Bombyx mori: one gene and its partner. The protein of the gene in region 1 interacts with the protein of each later gene in a pairwise test. Links are inferred from orthologs where the notes say so. Each region holds a gene or a part of one and is shown on either strand. Other genes may lie near its edges. The genes, in order: DNA primase large subunit and rho GTPase-activating protein 8.

Region 1 (9,909 bases):
GATGCCGACTGAATATACTTACTGATGGAGTCATGCTCCATGACATCATGGAGACCCACGGTGCTCCGACAGCTATCCTGCAAAAACGGGATTGGATGACTTGAAGGGGTTTCAAATTAGTGCGGGCCGCGTGAACGAACACTACACTTGCATAGGTCATGATCGGACGTATGCAAGGTTTGTAGTGTCGTCACCTTATTACAGAAGGACAATTTACTTTGCTTGCAAATCATCGGATAGGAGTATGGTATGGAACTTATATATAAAAGTTCAAAGAGTGCTACAAATATCCACGGCATATTTCTTTGAATTCAGAATCATTTGACACCAGATGAACAATTAGGTCGTCTTATACCTAATAAGAAGTGAAAATGCGTAAGAATCCTCGAAGTCGTCCTGACGTAACAGGGTAAGACGTCCACTCGACGACTAATTTTTCGAATGGAAATATACTGAACACATGCTCTCGAATAACTTCCACATATAAACGTGGAATGTAAACGTCAACTACGATTTTGTGAAACTTTGATTCAGCAGTATACCTAACAAAAAAAAAAAAAGAAAACCGACTTCAACAAAATAAATATGTGATTAAGGTAATAATTGTAGTTGAATTCAATTAAATATCCATTATTGCAATTAACTCAAAACTACTGGTCAGATCTTGATTAAATTGAAATGGGATTATACGAGAAGCCCCAACTTCGAAATAAAAAAATTAACGTCAAAATCCCCAAAAAATAAGTTCTAAGGTAACACATAAATAAATACAGAGAAATTGAGAATTACTACCTTTTTTGAAATCAGTTGAAAATTATGCGATTGTACATGTTCTTAGTGTTCGAAATTATCGGATTATATTGAATATTGTAGCGCTTTCAGCATATTTTGTATGTAGTTACAAAAATGTCGAAATAACATTTTATATAGGTCTTTGTAACCAGATATCGTATGTAGAAGCAATATTGCGTCGGTCCAACTAAATTGATAACAAATATTGTAAATTATGCAGTTATAAAGTTATAAAAAACCATATTTCTTAATTTTATTAAACGTCGCCTCGTGATTTCACCCGCGTTAAGTTTGTAATTAATAAATAATGAAGCTCAAACCAGCAAATACAGTTGTGTTTACCGATATTTAAAAAAAAAACAACTACATGCACCGATTTTTGAAGTGAAAACTTCTTTAGAATCGTTGTGATTTCAAACCGGATGCAACGGAAAAAACGACAGGTAAGAGACACAAATACAAAAATGTGTAGGATGAAGCCAGCAAAGAATGAGACAGAAATATACATACTATTTAATACAGCGCCATCTGTGAGATTTTTTAATACTAACGTGTGTATGAAAGCTCTTGTAGTGAATTTTAATTTAGGATTATACGTGAAATTAAAATATCAATTCACAGAGGGCGCTACCTTACAATTATTTATTAATGACAAAATTTTACATATACTTAAGACGTTTAGGATAATTGTATTTTAATTTTGGAAGGTTTCACTTCTACCACGTGAGAATTGCACACATTTTGTATTTTTTTAAAAAGGAAACCGATTAAGTTACAGAAGCATATGGAGGCTTACTACACCATTAATTTTTATATTAGTGTTCATAAAAACTCTAAACGTTATCATAGAAATGCATCGATATTCAATCAAATACCGTGAATAGTATACACTCGTAGTATGAAATTTGTTTTGTAAGCACAGAAAGAGATAAAAAAACAAGAATTTTAGACTTTATAAAACAACGGCGAATGGAGGGTGCAAATACTACGGCCTTTGTACTAAACATACTAAGCATGTACTTATATAGAAACTGTCCTGGAATAAAAAAAAACCGCTCAAAGTAACAAGGACTTTCTGGAAAATTAATGTGCATTTGGTTACGCTTGACAAAATAGATAGTAATTATACTTACTACTCGGTCAAGAAAGTACTTACACGGAAAATATCAATAATAAACAAAATGTTAGTTATTCATACAAATCACCTTCAAAGTAAGGTTCTTTAATTACCTTCAAAGTTCTAGGTACCACCACCCTGCCTATTTCTGCCGTGAAGCAGTAATGAGTTTCGGTTTGAAGGGTGGGTGGGGCAGCGGTTGTAACTGTACTGAGACTTTAGAACTCATATCTCAAGGTGTGTGGCGGCATTTACATTATATATGTCTATGGGCTTCTGTAACCACTGAACACCAGGTGGGCCGTGAGCTCGTCCACCCATCTAAGCAATAAAAAAGTAAACTCCTTGCAGTTGTGAGAGATAAACCCTCGTAAAACCTCTCTTGGGTTGTGTCTCGGACGGAGATTGGCCGATCGGGCGAGAGTAGTCGTTTATTGGGTGGCCTCTATCATTTTGCAAGTCCCATATAATCAGGACGTAGAAGTTTCGTGCTTAACCCCCGTATCTTTAGTCGTTCACACGAGCTTAACTCGACTCGACTCAACCTCCAACGCGGTTTTGGTATGCTTACTTAAAAAAAATGTGTTGTACCCACGTATATCTGTTAAATCATTATAACAATTTTTTATATGTATTCTAATTCTAAATTATTATCTTGACAAAATTATCTTTTCGGGCGATATCACAACAATAGCGTACTGCGAACGATAGGAATACCACCGAGAATCGACATTGCTATTATCGAACCCGGATGTCCCGCTATATGGCGAGCTCTCGACTTTATCCCATATTGAATATATTACTTTATATCTGCTAATGGCTTTCGTATTCATTCGTTAATAAAAGATTCGGCGTTACTTTTTCTGAATGTAATTTGTATTGTAATAAAATTTTACTACACTATATATATAACTTCTTTATGGTGAAGATATTTATGTATTATAATAAAAAAAATAGATACATAATTTGATTCTTAAAAAGTTTCGTGTCTGCCTTATCACGCTTCACAATGTAATTGATGATTCATAGATTGTGAATTTTATGGACAAAGGACTACGTAATGAATTGTTATTGTTCATTTTAGTATTGTCAACTGTAGATGAATAGACAAGCTAATGGCCTGACAGACCAATGCATGAAACAACAATATGTTGCGATAGCAATCCGCTTTGGCAACAATGAAGATGGACTGTTGGTCGAAACTTCCATCTCACATACTACGCCGCTCAAACATATGCCTGCCAAATTACGAAAGATAATAAAAAAATTTTTGCAGGTCTGAAATGTTTAAAAATTATATCAAATGATGGAACACGGAAGTTGGAGGCAGCATGTGAAAAGGAACTCACAAGTAGATTAGAAATGTATAGATTTGTAGCAGCTGTAAGTTTTGTTTTAATTAATTATTAAGTAAAGATTCATCAAATCAAATCAGTTTGTATCTGAAATAGCAAAATTCCAATTTTATGCTTGATTTTAAGTGTCATAACCAAATATCCTTTAATAATTTTTTTTTTTATTATTCTTTGCTTTTTATAATTGTGTTTACATAATTAATTTGTTTTTTAATTTACAGAAATTTGAAACACTGGGAGATGTTTATCATAGCATATCATCATCACCATCAAAAAAGTATTTCTTAGTTGTAGGTATTTCGATTGTAGGCATAATTTTTATATTTGGTCTGTACTGTGGACATGTTACTAAAAAAGCTATGTATGTTAAGCAAAAATAATAAATGAACTATTGCAATATGAAATAAGTTTTATTTCTGTTGTGTTAGATCATTCCAGTGGCTCATCAAAATCCATAGCATCTATGCTGTCAACAATATCTTTCTTCACAAGATTTTCTTTCTTGGGTTGTACTTTCAATTCTCCTTTCAATATTTTCTGACTCTCCTCAAAGAACTGATTAGGATGATTGATACCTAAACCAACATCTGCATTGTGGATGGCATCAAAATATTTACTGCAGGCAATTTGGAAATGTGTTTTCTTGCTCAACTCCACTATATCAGAAACAACTGAAAATCAAGAAAATTTACCTTTTTCAGTGAAATTTACAACTAGTGCAAGCCTCCATATGTATTAACATTGCTGTTTGCAAAGGAGGCTCCAATGAGTGTTAGTAACTGAGTAACATTTGGCAGTCTATAAATTTTGGTTTCACTTAGGTTATTTTAATATTTTGGCATGTACAATCTACCAACTGATTAGTTCACTAAAGGAGTAATCAATATCTACTGAAGTGTCACCTCATCAATAGTGCAACTTGGTAAATTAAAGGCAATATTTTTGGGAACATAATAAACTAATATCAGTTATTTTAAACTTTTAAGCTTTAGTACATTTTTTAAAATAGTTTATGGAGTTGTAATTAATTTTATTTAGCACACTATAATTACACAACATTAAGTACTTAGAAATGAATACATTACGTTATTCTATTAGTCTGTGTACAAGTTAATGTTGTTGTGGCTTTGATAAAACAGTTATAACATTTTGATTTACCTTGATGACTAAAACCATAGCCAATAAGTTTATTCTTTAGAACACCAGTATCACAGTGTCTGAATGGACATCCATGACAATCTCCAGGACCAACATTGGTATTTATAATCTTCAGACAACTGAATGGTGAATAATTCCTTTTGCTTCCTTCTTTTCCATAATTGTATCTAACATTATAAGCATATTGCTTTTCAAATTTATCCAAATCCATAATCTTAATGAATTCTTCCCTCCAAAACCTTAAAGAGTCTTCCAGTGTCACACCAATACCTTTTAAGAACAAGCCATACTGTAACCTGCCCCCATGTTTTAAGTGATGGGCAATTCTTAATTGTTCATGAAGTTGCCTCATACACAGAGGAAATGACTTGGTTGAAATAGAGTCCAAGCTTTCTATGGGTATCACAGCTTTAGTTTCAGAATAATCATTACCTGAATAAGATTGATGTAAGCCTTTTAACAAACAAACAAGTCGTTCATCTTGTTCAATTTCACACAGATGATGGCAAGCTTTGGCCAAATTTTGTTTTAAATGTGTTCGATACTGTGCTGCAAGAACTGATATGAAATCTCTGTGAGGTATATAAGCGTATCCATCATTAAGAAATACTTTTCTTGCTTTAACCAAATCTAGAACTTCAAAGAATTTAACCTTATAGAATTTCATATTGTCTATTTTAGAGTAGGGTGTAGATTCTATTAAGTTTTGTATTACTTCGTTTTTTTCATCTTCAGAAATAGTAGTGTAACATAGATTGTTTAGTTTAAAGAATACCTCTACCGCTTCGCCTCTCATGACAGCAAATCTCATTTTGAATAGTTCCAATTCCCTTGCGATGAACCAACGTCGCAACTCTTCAGTCCGACAATAAGCAAGTCGGAGTATAAAATGAGCAATGTGATCTTTTCTTCGGGCTTCAAAATCTGCTTTAGTAGATCCACAACCCGATTTCTCACACAATTTAGCATAATATTTCAAACCCTGTGCTCGTAAATCGTTTAGTACGAATTCCACAAATTCTTCTGAATTTAAACGCAACCCTCGAAGAGTTGTAGCTGTAGACAACGTTCTTAACAAATTTACACGCTCCAGAGCTAATGTTTCAAATTCTTGTAAAGTGATGTTTTCAACCGGTGGAATTTTGTACAATTGTAAGTCATGTGGATAGAGTTCGAATTGATTACCTGTTGCTGGAGTTTTGGTAGATTTTCTTTTAACTTTGAAATCCATACTTTTTTATATATTTAATAATTACTTTTAACCTTTATTGTGTTATAAATTCTTGTTATTAATAATGTTCATATTAATAATGTTTAGCACTATTGTTACACTTGCTACTGGAACAATTTTGGCGCCAGTTTTTACTATATAGGTCTATGAGTTTTTGTAGACACAAATCACAATAGTGACAAGTAACAGTGACAGACATCATTGTTGATTTGTCCACAAAAGAGACAAAGGCATCGTAGCCCAAAATAGCTTAGAATAAAGATTAAATCCATTTTTGTCTTGTGTTTGTCTCAGATTGATTTTCAGCTTTCGCAGTTTTGTCCATAATGAAAGAACGATATGACTAATGGTAATTGCTTTTTTCATGACCACACAATGACAATAACGACAAATAAAATGGGATTTAAGACTAAAATAAAATTACAGCAAGAATTTTCATTGCCTTCGAAGGCTATATACTGTATATACGAACCTCTGTGAAACTATAAACATAAAACCATGTTCTTACAAGTATTAAAATACTTAATCCGAAACCTGATCTATTATTGAAAACAAGTTTTTTATGATTTCGTAACAATTTTAAAAAGCCATTGGTCAGACCAAGTGACTGAGGAATTCAAAATGCTAATGCCTCAGGCTCTAAATTAGGACGAAACCCGTGGCGAGTAAAGAAGTTTACAGCGTTTCAGTCGAAGTTACGAAGCTTATTAGCGAGGGAACACTTTAAAACGAAAAGTCCTGAAATTTTGTTTATCGTTACTGGTAAATTGATAGTTCTGATAACATTGCTCTTGTTAAAATAACGGTTTTGTATAGATAGTGATAGCTTCATTACAGCACTTAATAGATAAATCGCTTGATGTCAATTTATTCTTTGTTATACTTAGTGGCCACACTGGAAACCGGTAAATAGAACTTCGGGGTGATGTTGATGCGAGGGTTGAATCAGAGTGAGGTAAAATAAAGAAATAAACTCATGGGATTAATAATTTTTTATAAAATTTTCAACGAACTAAAGTTTCATAATTAAATGTAATATTTTAGTTAAGTTGAATAGTGTGATGGATCAAATCATTATTTTATTATTATACTGCAGACAAATTATCCTGTTCGTATAATTTGCGCTGACTATGCGCACGTGATTTTAATTTTCTACTATATTTATTATAGAGTATTTCTATGACTGGGTCCCACAAACTGCCAGATTTGTTTTCATCAATGTCTGACGCCCACCGTAGTTTCTAGAGTAATTACCAAATTTTTTAAATATCGTGTTGAATAATAACAAAGATTCGGCTCAACGAATTTATAGTAACGAAAATGGCTTTATATTTTAGTAAAGAAAATAAATAATAGTTTAAAAAAATGTTTTATCCTAAAATATCATAGCTAAAAAAATTTAAACTATTCATCAAAACAAATCACTCACGAGTTGTGGAAATCTTATTTCCACTTAAAATGGAATGCTGAAAATTACAAAAATCTGGATTTGTATACTCAAACAGTGAGGCTGATGTGGGCTAATGACGTTGCTGGTAATGCACATGTTGTTGCTCTTTCCGGTTTTACACTTCGGTCATTCTCTATGCACTTCACTCACTACTTTTGCAATTTACAACATGTCAATAATCTGTCAAGTTGGCTAGACTCCGAAATCAAACCATTATTTTGAATTAAAACCAATCAATTGAATGGAGCAATGCTGCGTGATAGTATCATTTAGTTAAAATTTGGCAACTGCGTTAGAATCCGTATCAATTAATAGAATTTTTCATAGCGACATCGATGGTAAAGATGCAGTCGTCACTAGATGATTTAGTTCAGTATACACAGCTTTTCAAGCCTGTTCCGACTGTTTTACAAGGCACGGTTTTGCCTTTTCTATTTATTTACCCTCTGGTTTTTTATTCATGGATCGTTGTGTACGGTATAGAAGATAATTTCGAGGCAGGATTCGTGACTGTGGCTGTGATAGCAACAGTCCAGATCCTCATATGTTTGTGTTGTTACTGGAGTGTTCATATCAACTGCTTCCTTTCTTGTTCAGCGGTAAGTCCTTAGACAGCAAAATGTTTTTAAAAAGAAATTAGAGACTTTACATTTGCTATATGATGTTGATGACAGGTTAAAGATCCAATACAAGCTGAGGTAGTCAAGGTTGTACCGACTTCTAACAATGGATCATCTGAGCTTGTTCGACTACATCATACGAAGGTAAGACTTATATTGTGAACTTTAACAAAAACCATATTAAAATTTTTCAACTGTGATGTTCACACAGTATTGGAATAAAATGATTTACATCTGCATCACATTGAAGGTACCAAGTTATTGGTATAGTGGCTAGTAAATATGGCCATACCGTATCCCATAGTCTTAGATGTATTCTATTTGGTTGTTTTTTTTGGCATTTGTATTGGCAAGTATTTGGCATTAGGTAGGGATCGCAGTGTATTTGTTTTCTCTTTCAAAAACAGACACATTACATGGTAGAAATCTCTGTACTTTCAGGTCTTTGAATGTGGAATGAATACAAATAGCCACAAATATTTTTCCAGCTTGTTCATGGTTTTCAAGTTTTAAGTTTCAAGTTTTACATTCAAATTCTTGTCGAACCCGTCACTTGCAACGAAGGGCTCGATGAGTAACTTAACCCTCAGACACAGGCCACTGAGTTTTTCGCCGAATCTTCTCAGTGGGTCGCGTTTCCGATCCGGCGGTAGATTCTGCGAAGCACGGCTCTTGCCAGGGTTCGTGTACGCAACGTCGTCAGGTTTGAGCCCCGTGAGCTCACCTACTAGTTAAGGTTCTGCTGAAATAGCCTCCCAAGGCTATCAGCTTATGTAGGAAAAAAATAACATTCAAAGTTAATGATAGTACAGGGTACAATTTAGAAAAGAGAATGAGGGCTTCGAGTCGATTTTCACTAAGTTCAGGTTTATTTTAAAATATATTTGATTTACAGTCAACAAAAAAAGACAGTATACACCCAGATGTTTGGTTCATATTTCAAAAGAGTAAATATGTGTATGACTGGGATAAAAAGAATTTTCACACCATAGAATTTCCTATCAATAAAATTTATGAAGAATATATGGAATCCAAAGGATATTCTGATGATGAGGCTATTGATTTAGCAGAAAAAGAATTTGGTAAAAATGAGATGGTTATGGTAAGTAATCTTTGTAAAATCATAAACATATATAAATGAAAATTAAATTAAGAATGTTATTTTAAAAATATTTGAACCATACAAACCACTCTACAAATTTTCAGGTTGTTCCGGAATTTATGGAACTTTTTAAAGAGAGAGCAACAGCACCATTTTTTGTATTTCAAGTATTTTGTGTAGCTCTGTGGTGTTTGGATAAGTATTGGTATTACTCAATATTCACACTAGTGATGTTGGTTATGTTTGAATGTACATTGGTGCAGCAACAGCTCAGAAATATGGCTGAGATCAGAAAGATGGGCAATAAGCCTTACAACATTAATGTATATCGAAACAGGAGGTGGAGACAAATAACAAGCGATCAGCTTTTACCGGGTGACATAGTATCCCTCACAAGATCCGTCAACGAAAACCTGGTCCCTTGTGACATAATACTCTTACGGGGGTCCTGTATTGTAGATGAGTCCATGTTGACTGGTGAGAGTGTTCCACAAATGAAAGAAGCTTTGGAAAATGAAAAGGACCTCCAGCAACATCTAGAACCTGAGGGTGATGGTAAACTTCACATGCTTTTTGGTGGTACTAAGATTGTACAACATTCCTCACCATCCAAAAGCTCACCTTCAGGGCTTAAAGCCCCGGATAATGGTTGCATTGGTTATGTTATACGTAATGGTTTTAACACATCACAGGGTAAACTGCTAAGAACCATTTTGTTTGGAGTGAAAAGGGTCACAGCTAATAATCTTGAAACTTTTGGATTCATAATGTTTTTGCTTATATTTGCTGTAGCTGCTGCGGCCTATGTGTGGGTCAAGGGTTGCGAAGATCCTGAGCGAAATAGATACAAATTATTTTTGGAATGTACTTTAATATTGACATCGGTTGTTCCGCCTGAACTGCCCATAGAGTTGTCTCTAGCAGTTAATACGTCATTGTTGTCTTTATCGAAATTGGCCGTATTCTGTACAGAACCATTTAGGATACCCTTTGCTGGTAAAGTAGAAATATGTTGTTTCGATAAGACTGGAACATTGACAAGTGATAATTTAGTTGTTGAAGGAGTAGCTGGAATAGGAGAACA
Region 2 (9,939 bases), on another chromosome or scaffold:
CAAGTACCTCTTACACCCGTTAGTTAGCTCCAGCCTGGAGCCGTTCTAAGCTGATAAATAAAATAATAGTATATTTTAACAGTTCTCAACAGTAACTCGGCTTATATCGCTTACCAGCTGATATTGCTTTCTTTTCTTCTACCCGCAGTCTTCAATTTGATTTCTTTGATGTTTTATAACATAGTTATTTCGTTAAGATTGTTTTAAGTAAATTAAACATATATTGTGGTATTTTAGAATTATTGTTGTTTATGTCTATACGCTTATTACTGTTTTTATTTTTTTAAGTAATACTTAATAGATCTTCAAAGATTACAAAATAGCTGTTTTTTTTATCTTATAATTCTAAGCATTCTATTTGTTCGGTGTGCCGTGTAGGAAAAATGTTTATGTATAAAATTCACACTATGAAGCCCATCATTTCGATGTATACTTAAAAACTTATTACTATGACTTATTATAGAAAAGACAGTGATAAATCGCGAGCTTATCCTTTCAGCTACAGTATACTGAATAAATACAGGTAGTGTATGAATAAGTAAATTTGTTAGCTTTAACTTTCTTGTTCTAAATTACTTTTCATAGTGCACGACACGTGTAATGGTAAAACAATATGTAAATGTTTTTTCTTTTATTTTTAATACAAAATTAAAATTCATTATCAATATATGTTTGACTGTAAAATACAGGGAATCATGTAGGTATGTACAAAATAGGTATATGATTTCGACAAAACATAAACTATTTATTAAATAAATTTACTTTCATTTCATAAAAGTTCTACTTAAGCGAACATTGTTGATGTTATAACTAAACCCAAGGTAAACGAAACCGAAACCAAAATACCATATTGGCATAGTTTTCAAAGTCGAATTTAATGTTTTGTACATCTCATATAAAACATTACCTTAATAATTTTCATTACTTCCGCGATGTCGAAGAAAGAAGAGCGTGCGAAATGACCTACATTAATCTAATACAACAGATAACTGAGTAACAGGTGGTTCTGTTACGTGCAAAACTTTTATTATGACTGAGTATTATACTCGTAATACAAATCATAAATTAAAAACGTGTAAGCTATTATTATCGAGTTCATTATTCTTATTTTCTTTTTTTTTTGACATTAGAATTATATTAAAGCTTTCGCGGCTACTACATTTTATTCACGATTCGAGTGTCACGAACCAGTAAGCCAGCGTTGAAGATAAGACATACAAAAAGCTCCCAAGGCTAGTTTACGACCGGATCTAGTCCATGGTCTTCATCCATTAATAACAACACAGTTACAGGGTAAGCCCGATACATGCATTAGATCCTATTGATCGTGATTGAGCAATACTCATTCGTAAAGCGGTCTCTGGGGACTTTTATTGTTTACAGGGATTGAGGAAATCGCTTGATGTAACTGGTTACCAGTTTCCATAATATATTGAAAAATACGAACCTACGTTTTCTGACTGCACTCTCAGTTCTGTTTTACAACAATATTTTCATGATTTATGCAGTCCATGTTCCTATTTATATCCATATATAATATAACGTAGAAGCGATATTTTGGCATAGTCCTCTTTCATCTGAGAGTATATTCAATTTTAACACCAAAATCACTCATCAAAAATCAATCGTGAAATCCTTGAACTCGACATCGCGGCCTTCCAGTTGATTTTAACATATAGGGGACTGTATCTAACAATCAGAACAAGAGCACGTTGATACATCATCCAGATCGATTTACTTGTGCAATTTTTCAATCGTGGACTCTAATCATTTCATCAACACATATTTTATTGAATTACGTATTGCGATTTCAATTTTAATATCGCAGAAAGTAAAGTAAAAATGACCTTGAATAAGTTAAGGTGGTACAACGTCTGAGCTGTCTAGAAAAATCTTTTATGATATTTTCTGAGAAGTTCCAATGTAAAGCATAATATTTTTAGATTCAACGTAAACATTGTGGGTTGAAATCTGCTATGGCGTATAAATTCAAGAATCACAAAAAAATACACCATTTTCTAAGCTTTCTATTGAACGTAGATATTTTTAGAATTAAATCAAAATATTTTCTTCATATTTATATCATATTTTCAAACATACGAAAAATGGGAAATCGCAACTGAAGATTTATCCCAAAGCACACGATATCACAACTGAAAATTTATCCTAAAACCTAAAGTAATTACTATTTATATATTCAATCCGTAAGACCAAGCGAGTCACAAAAACGGTGCAGCGCGTTTTCTTGAATATTTATAACACGCCGATACACTATCACTTCATCCGGTGCGGTGTTTAGAAAGAAAAAAAAAGTTTTTTTTTTTTTATTGCTTAGATAGATGGGTAGACGAGCTCACAGCCCACCTGGTGTTAAGTGGTTACTGGAGCCCATAGACATCTACAATGTAAATGCGCCACCCACCTTGAGATATAAGTTCTAAGGTCTCAGTATAGTTACAACGGCTACCCCACCCTTCTATATAATAATATAACTATAGTTTTTGTGATACTCGTTACTAATATTTGACTGTGAATATAGTGTTTGTTTTCCAAATGAATAAACTTCCACTTCAAAGACCGAACTACGCCCTCATCGTGACATGTAATTTAACCTGACTACTGTGCATAAAATCCTCGACAGTGACGACGAATCGACAAACGAAACAATCCATCAGCTTAAATTTAAACGAATATACAGCTTTCGTTCCAAGCTCATTCCGAAATTATTGCTCACCCAATGCGTTCAGATTAATACACGAATTACTTGCTGGTAACGAGTAGTAGAATCACAAATCCATAAAGCTTATTAACAAAATTGCCTAATGTGTAAGGTAGTTTTATGCAACTCTGGTGTGCCATTGCATAATTTATCACCGCAAATAGATGTTTGCTTCGATTTGATTGTTTAAGTATAAGGTCATAGTACAAGAGTAATTAAAATTGTTATATTAATGTTGTATTGTCATTCGATTTTGCAAACTGATGACCAAAGAGGAGCGATTAATACTACTGCACCATCAAAGCCATACTGGGGACCACAGATCCAGATTTTTTTTCTCCATTAAATGTTATCATAAGTAAAGTACTTTGGGGGCCCAGCCCTAACTTTGTCAGTTCATTGTCAATGGAGTAACCAGGGAATGCATGTTGCAGTGTCGAAGTAGACTTTAGCGTACGTCACTTTTAAATACAACTCGGTGAAGACTAAGCTCTAATGCAATAATTTATGCATAATATAAACTATTATTGAACTTCAAGTTTAGAATATTAGCATTGAAAATGCTTCAAAATAGAATGTAATTATTACTTTTATATAAAATAAAGTTTGTTGTATTTTAATTCTCATAAAGAGTTTTTTTTCTTTCCCATCTATGCTGATGCCTTGAGAGCCTATTTCAGCTTCTCCTTGACGTGTAAGTGAGCTTACGGGGGTCAAACCGAGAATGTTGCTAACATTGGCTCTAGTAAGAGCAGTGCTTCGCAGAATCTACCGCTAGATCTGAAACGCGCCCCACTGAGAAGATCGAGCCCTTCGTCGCAAGCGACGGGTTCGACGAGGACGGTGCTTGTGGTACCTAAAAGCACCGTTAATGGATCGGAGGATCCGTAATTACGTGTTTAGGGCGACGTCGACTGTTTACTATTCGCTCCACAGGATCGGGTATGAGGAAAGAGTATAGATTCTCAGCATACATAAAGTTAATGACAAAAATTTAAATGAGAATACCCAAGAAATCATTCAAAGGTTTTTTATTATTTTTTTATTGCTTAGACGGGTGGACGAGCTCACGGTTCACCTGGTGTTAAGTGGTTGCCGGAGCCCATAGACATCTACAATGTAAATGCCGCCACCCACCTAGAAACATGAGGTTATAAGGTCATAGGTCTCATAAGTTCTGTCATAAGGACATAATGTCTCACTTTTAACAGAACAACGGCTGCACCGCCATTCAAACCGAAACGCATTACTGGTTCACGTCAGCAGGGCAGGGTGGTGGTATCTATTTGTGTGGACTCGCAAGACGTCCTACCACCAGTAATTACACAAATTATAATTTTGCGGGTTTCATTTTATTATACGATGTTATTCTTTCAAGGTTGAAGTCAATCGTGGACATTTGTTGAGTATGTATTTCATTGTAAAAATTAGTACCTGCCGACGGATCGGAACGCCGATGCATCGCTACATACGAATGCACCGGACGTCTAATTCTTTTGGCCACGACGACTCATCAAAAGATTGTAAGGTAAAAGAAGATTGATTTTTTGGAAGCATCTACAATGGAAGAAACCCTACTATAGGGGTCTAGGAATTAATGATTCAATGTAAGTATAAATTATTGCCCTATTCCAGAAATTTTCATTGATTTATAACTGAAATATTGAGCATAATTTTACAAACACTTTCATTTTCCCCAATATCTAAAAACACATCCCAAAGATCAAGTTTCCTTCATTTTATTTGTAACCCTTGTAGGTGCCTGATGGTGAGTGGCTACTGTCGCTCATGGACATCAGCAATGCCAGGGGCAGAGCCAAGCCACTGCCTACTGTTAAGTAATCTCCACACGCCTCATTTGACAAAGGACATGTCACAGCTCTTGGTAAACAATGTAGAGCTGAGCTCATTCCAATGCCAGACAATATGTAGATGTAAAATGTAAAAATAATATCTGGAAACGGACTGTAGATGATTGCAGTGACAAGAGATTAAAAATAGTAATATCCAGATTCAACTCAAAGGAAAATTTTATAAAAAAATTTGAATTGCATCCAGCCAGCTCAAAATTTTATGGAAATATGATAAGAGTATCAATGCTGAAAAACTTTAAGCATATTTTTATCAAAAGCATGTTTTACAAGTGAGCACTATAGTTTAAAAACCAAAGGTAAGGAAAGTTTTGTAAATATTAATTACATGACAAACTAATTCTCAATTGCATTTTTAATAAAAATCCAAAGCTGTGACCTAGCTGTCCAAAACCTACCAAAAAAACTTAGCACTTCAGATTAAATTTAAAAAAATATCATTAATGATTTTTGTTACATTATTAATTTGGAAATAAAACTTTATAAATATAAAATAAAATTCATGCTTCCGAGTGCACCTCACCCAATCATTAAGCTCATTTTTTAAATTTCCAACTATGTCTATTTTGTTTTGTTAGATTTATATTTTATAACACCTACCACAATTATTCCAAATATAGTTAAATAACCTTTAAATACTTACCTAGACCAGGTCCATGGATCAATTCAGAGTCATCAAATTCAAGGCTTGGTTCATAGTCATGGTACTCAGAAAGACTAGTGTAATTTTCCTCTGTTTCCCCATTACAACCATGTAGAACTAAAAAGAAATTTATTTAAAATACATATTTATTATTATTTAAGCAAAAAGGCTTAAAGAAAAAAAAAACAAACACATTTTTAAAATAAAAATAATTTTAAAAACTAATAATTACCATAAATAAATAAAACTCAATTTTGGATGATATTCTATCAAATATGCCTCCAATTTGTTTTCCAATCACATAATTTTAAATAATATTTGCTAACTGGTTCAAACATAATTGAAATAAACTCAAAATTAAATTTTGATCATTAATAATAAAATGAACTCAAAAATGAAATAAAAAAACTTAACTTCATATACAGTCAAAACTTCCCACTAACTTGTTGCTCTTTCTGCTGCAGCAGCCTGGGAGGAGTTATTCCGTTTGGGGAATAAAAAAGAAAACCACGATCGAAACTTATTTCTGGCACAATTGAAAATATTCATTTTGAATAATTAAAGAATTTTAGGGAACAATTAGCAAGCAGAGTAATGGAACATTCACATCAAGTTAGAGGGTTGTACTGAATGATTCTCTAAACAACACTAAGAGCACGCAACCTCACGCGCAGGCGGGGCGCGACGTACTAAGTTAGGTCAATGTGTAAAGGCTAAAGTGCTAACATATCTAAATATACTACACATACCTTGAAAGGCCCTGACCGGATTAAGTTTGGGTTGATGTTCCGGGTCCATTTTGAATCATCAAATAAATCTATACAATTATGGTTTCTCGAAATCAAACAATTTGCTGTTACTTCATATGCGTAGACAATATCCCTTCGAGCTAATAAATCCGTTATCCTCCAGTCTTATTAATGTTTAAAATGTACTGTAATCTGAAATTAACAAGAAAATTATAAAATTAAAATGCAAGCAACTACCTACATATTTATCTAAGAACTATGTAGCTTTATTATTTCCGATTCCAGTTGTACAAGAGTAAAACTCGAGATTATCAGACAAAACAAATGCTCTATTCCATTGACGTTGAAAGGAATACGTCAAAATGGGCTTTACAATCACAGAATAATTTAAGAAATTACGTCTTATACTTATAGGCTTAATACAGTTGGCTAAATTTAGTCGACTGAATTCAGTCGCTACTGAATTCAGTGAAGCGTAATAGCATTAAGTAAGTTGGCCTACTAAATTCAGTAGCAAGGATGGTTTCGGACTAACTAAATGATTATTTAGAAGCCTAATTAGAAACGCATTTAGGAAGGTGTAATCGCATTTAGTTACTTCGTGATTTTTTACTTTAAAATAAAAAGTATTAATTTCGGTCACCTTTATTTAATGTGCCAGACATTTATAAATAGCCCAACATGTTTCAGGGATAATTTTTATCAGGGGTTGGTATATTGAAGAACTAAATTTTAAATCTTGATACGAATTTCCTGTTGCAAGAAATCTTAATGTTACAACCAATCTTTCTTTTGGACTTATACTATCGTAGGATTAGATATGTATGGGTTATATAATAGATATATAATAGACGCAGAGTCCTCCTCCAGTCAATTCCTCGAGTTCAGTCATCTGTTCTGGTGAAACTATAGGGTTCTAGGTTAACAAAAATACCTCCATCCAAACAAATGAATAACATAAAGTAATAATAAAAAAGTCGATTATGGATTCTCTAATGCCTCATTTAGATACTCGCCGACTACATATATATAGGCCGTAGGCACAAATAGGAGTATATGAAGGAGTATGTGAACAACTTAGATAGCCCCGCGTGGTGCCGATCCTTTAGCGCTAAGCATTATTAATGGTCTTTATTTCTGTGCTGTGTTACTTCATTTCATCCAATGCTTATGTTTTCCTATTTCACCTCTTTTAATTCCATTTAATTTCTGTTGATTTCGTTATTGCAGTTTTTATCCATGTAACATCCATGACATACAACATATGGGAAGTCGTCGTGGCCTAACGGATAAGACGTCCGGTGCATTCGTGTTGAGCGATGCACCGGTATTCGAATCTCAGGCGGGTACCAATTTTTCTAATGAAATACGTACTCAACAAATGTTCACGATTGATTTCCACGGTGATGGAATAACATCGTGTATTAAAAATGAAACCCGCAAAATTATAATTTGCGTAATTGCTGGTGGTAGGACCTCTTGTGAGTCCGCGCGGGTGGGTACCACCACCCTGCCTATTTCTGCCGTGAAGCAGTAATGCGTTTCGGCTTAAAGGGTAGGGCAGCCGTTGTACCTATACGTGAAACCTTAGAACTTATATCTCAAGGTGGGTGGCGCATTTACGTTGTGGATGTCTATGGACTCCAGTAACCACTTAACACCAGGTGGGCTGTGAGATCGTCCACCCATCTAAGCAATAAAAAAAAAATTACTTAATTTCAGCCATTGTTACATAAGATTTGGCTGAATGAGCTATGTCTCTTTTGCTTATCCAATGGATGAAATAAATCAACTAACCTTCTGAAATGTAAAACGATAGTCTGTAACACATTCTGTATTATCTATGGTTCAAGTAATCAAACAACTCTCAACTAAGTTTAAAGTTTAAAATCTATGCAAAAAAAATTGGAGTGTACGCTATTTAATATCTATGTAGGTTTTTAGTTTATTGAGTAAATTGAGTTATCTACTGTACAAGATAAAAATAAGAACATGCTAGGTTATTCGAATGCCGGTATACCGGATAAATCATGGCAACCACCCGTTGTTGTAATTGAAACGACGTAAGTCATTCAAAACTTTAACATTAACTAATACCATTTATCCAACATTTGTAATAGATATCATAAATATGTAATATCCGCCTTTAAGATTGCAATCTTATAAATCACGAATGAAACAAAAACCATTCTGAATTCTAATTGTAACCAAAAAAAGTATACATAATAACTCGTTCTATTTCACACTTCATGTTTCTATATGACCGGAACTATTAATCAGCTAAACTATGTCCAATCAAACGGAACAAATAATAATCAGATGGTGGGTGGGGCAAGTCGTGCCCTTAGCCTTTCCAGGCAGGTTTTGGCAACATGAGACAGCATTGTCATGCAAGAGAATTATTATTTTATCATACCTTTGATGGTATCGTGATAATTTATACTTGTATAGTGCTCGCCTTCATTGCATTGAGTTCAATACTGTTCCCTAGTGAATATGTTGTTTAGATCCAACAGCTCATAATCAACAACACCGACTTAGTTCCACTGAATGCACAAAATAACTTTTGCACTGTGAATATTCAGCTGACCCGAGAATGTAGATGTGTGACTGGACAGTCCCCAAGATACTTTTCTCTTTGGGTTGCTGTATTGAATCCACTTTTCATCACTTATCATGATGTGATGAAGAAAACTGTTACTTTTACACCACTGGATCCTTTATTCACGGAAAAGATAATGCTCATTATCTCTTGGTTTCAACTCATAAAGAACCCAAGCTACTTCCTTCTGAATCATTCCCAATGCATGCAATGGTTTGGATATAGCTTTGGCTAGTAATAATGCTGAAGCAAGCTGATCTTGCTTTTGCTACATATCCTCATCGAGCAATGCCTCCAACTCAGTGCCTTTGGAGGCTTTCCTGAATGTGGAAATCACCGTCTTTTTAGAAAGGGAACCAATCCAGACACTTCATTTCATTTTCATTTTTGGAGCCCTTGATCATTTCGGCCACTGTTTTCTTTGAATGAAAAGAGAAGCGACGGCATAATAATAATTATTATTATTATATTATTATATGAATGATCATGCAACAATAAAATCACTAATGTATCAAAACACTTTCTTTACTGTATTTCTACTAAGCTTGGTTTACAATGTTTTAGATCTCTCAAAATTCGTTTTTTGATAAATATTATAGAATGAGAAACTATGACTTTTTTGTATTAAATATTGCATTGTTTTATATACTGTATGCCACTCTCACAATTGAGATTAATCAAAAGATATCCCAAATGTTCAAATCCATTAAAAAGTTAATTGGAAGAAATTAAGCATACATGCAAATGTTCAAAAAACATTACCATTGCAAGAGCAAGTAATCTTTTCTTTTTTTCGGGCCGAGGGCTGAACCTCCTGCAAGGTCCCCGCGCCTAGGGGGCGCGCGGGTTATGTGAGACTCAACGATCTGCAGTTGTTGAGAGCAGACCGAGGGCCCAAGGAATTTTAGGGCCCACCCACTAAACGACTCCCCTGCAAAAACGACGTCCGATCTTCGTCTGGGGTCAAAACCCGGCCAGAGTAGGGGGGTTCCCGCGGTCAACACTACAACCAGACACGCGGCGCCATCCCGAGGACGCCCGACCGACGGGTCGTCGAGGCGATAGTCGACGACCAACGACGTCGGTCTCCGCGGTACGGCGGCCCTACCAGGCCGCCCGGGCGATGCCGCTGCTGTTCCGGCATACCCCGCTGGGCCAGAACCAGCCTGCTCTTTCACAGTATGTTCGGCGACGACAGCGACGACGACAATGCGGACCGCATCGCAGTCCGCAGTCGTCGACGCGTCGCCCAGTCCTCCTGGTGCCAGCGCGCTAGAGTGACTATAGCGTGCGGCGCAGTCTCAACCCCCTTAGGTCGCCCCGTGACCATCACCGGGAGGAGACTGCCTCCTCAT

What was found.
Region 2: the proteins of DNA primase large subunit (region 1) and rho GTPase-activating protein 8 interact in a two-hybrid assay, tested with the Drosophila melanogaster proteins (2 studies listed by BioGRID). The link is inferred for Bombyx mori from reciprocal best matches to the Drosophila melanogaster genes Prim2 and RhoGAP68F.

The regions. Positions count from the first base shown.
Region 1 is NC_085110.1:5,389,728-5,399,636, forward strand, and holds DNA primase large subunit, read right to left. Parts: upstream 6,182-9,909; 5' UTR 5,654-6,181; coding exon 4,423-5,653; intron 3,936-4,422; coding exon 3,694-3,935; 3' UTR 3,656-3,693; downstream 1-3,655. Other genes in the region: Golgi apparatus protein 1, read left to right, coding at 3,186-3,292, 3,486-3,644; endoplasmic reticulum transmembrane helix translocase, read left to right, coding at 7,439-7,702, 7,778-7,867, 8,619-8,825, 8,930-9,909. UniProt on the Drosophila melanogaster protein: Regulatory subunit of the DNA primase complex and component of the DNA polymerase alpha complex (also known as the alpha DNA polymerase-primase complex) which play an essential role in the initiation of DNA synthesis.
Region 2 is NC_085107.1:5,052,284-5,062,222, forward strand, and holds the start of rho GTPase-activating protein 8, read right to left. Parts: upstream 6,343-9,939; 5' UTR 6,032-6,342; coding exon 5,983-6,031; intron 5,351-5,982; coding exon 5,234-5,350; intron 1-5,233. Other genes in the region: peptidylprolyl isomerase, read left to right, coding at 7,975-8,045. UniProt on the Drosophila melanogaster protein: Functions as a GTPase-activating protein (GAP) for RhoA/Rho1 during gastrulation by converting it to an inactive GDP-bound state.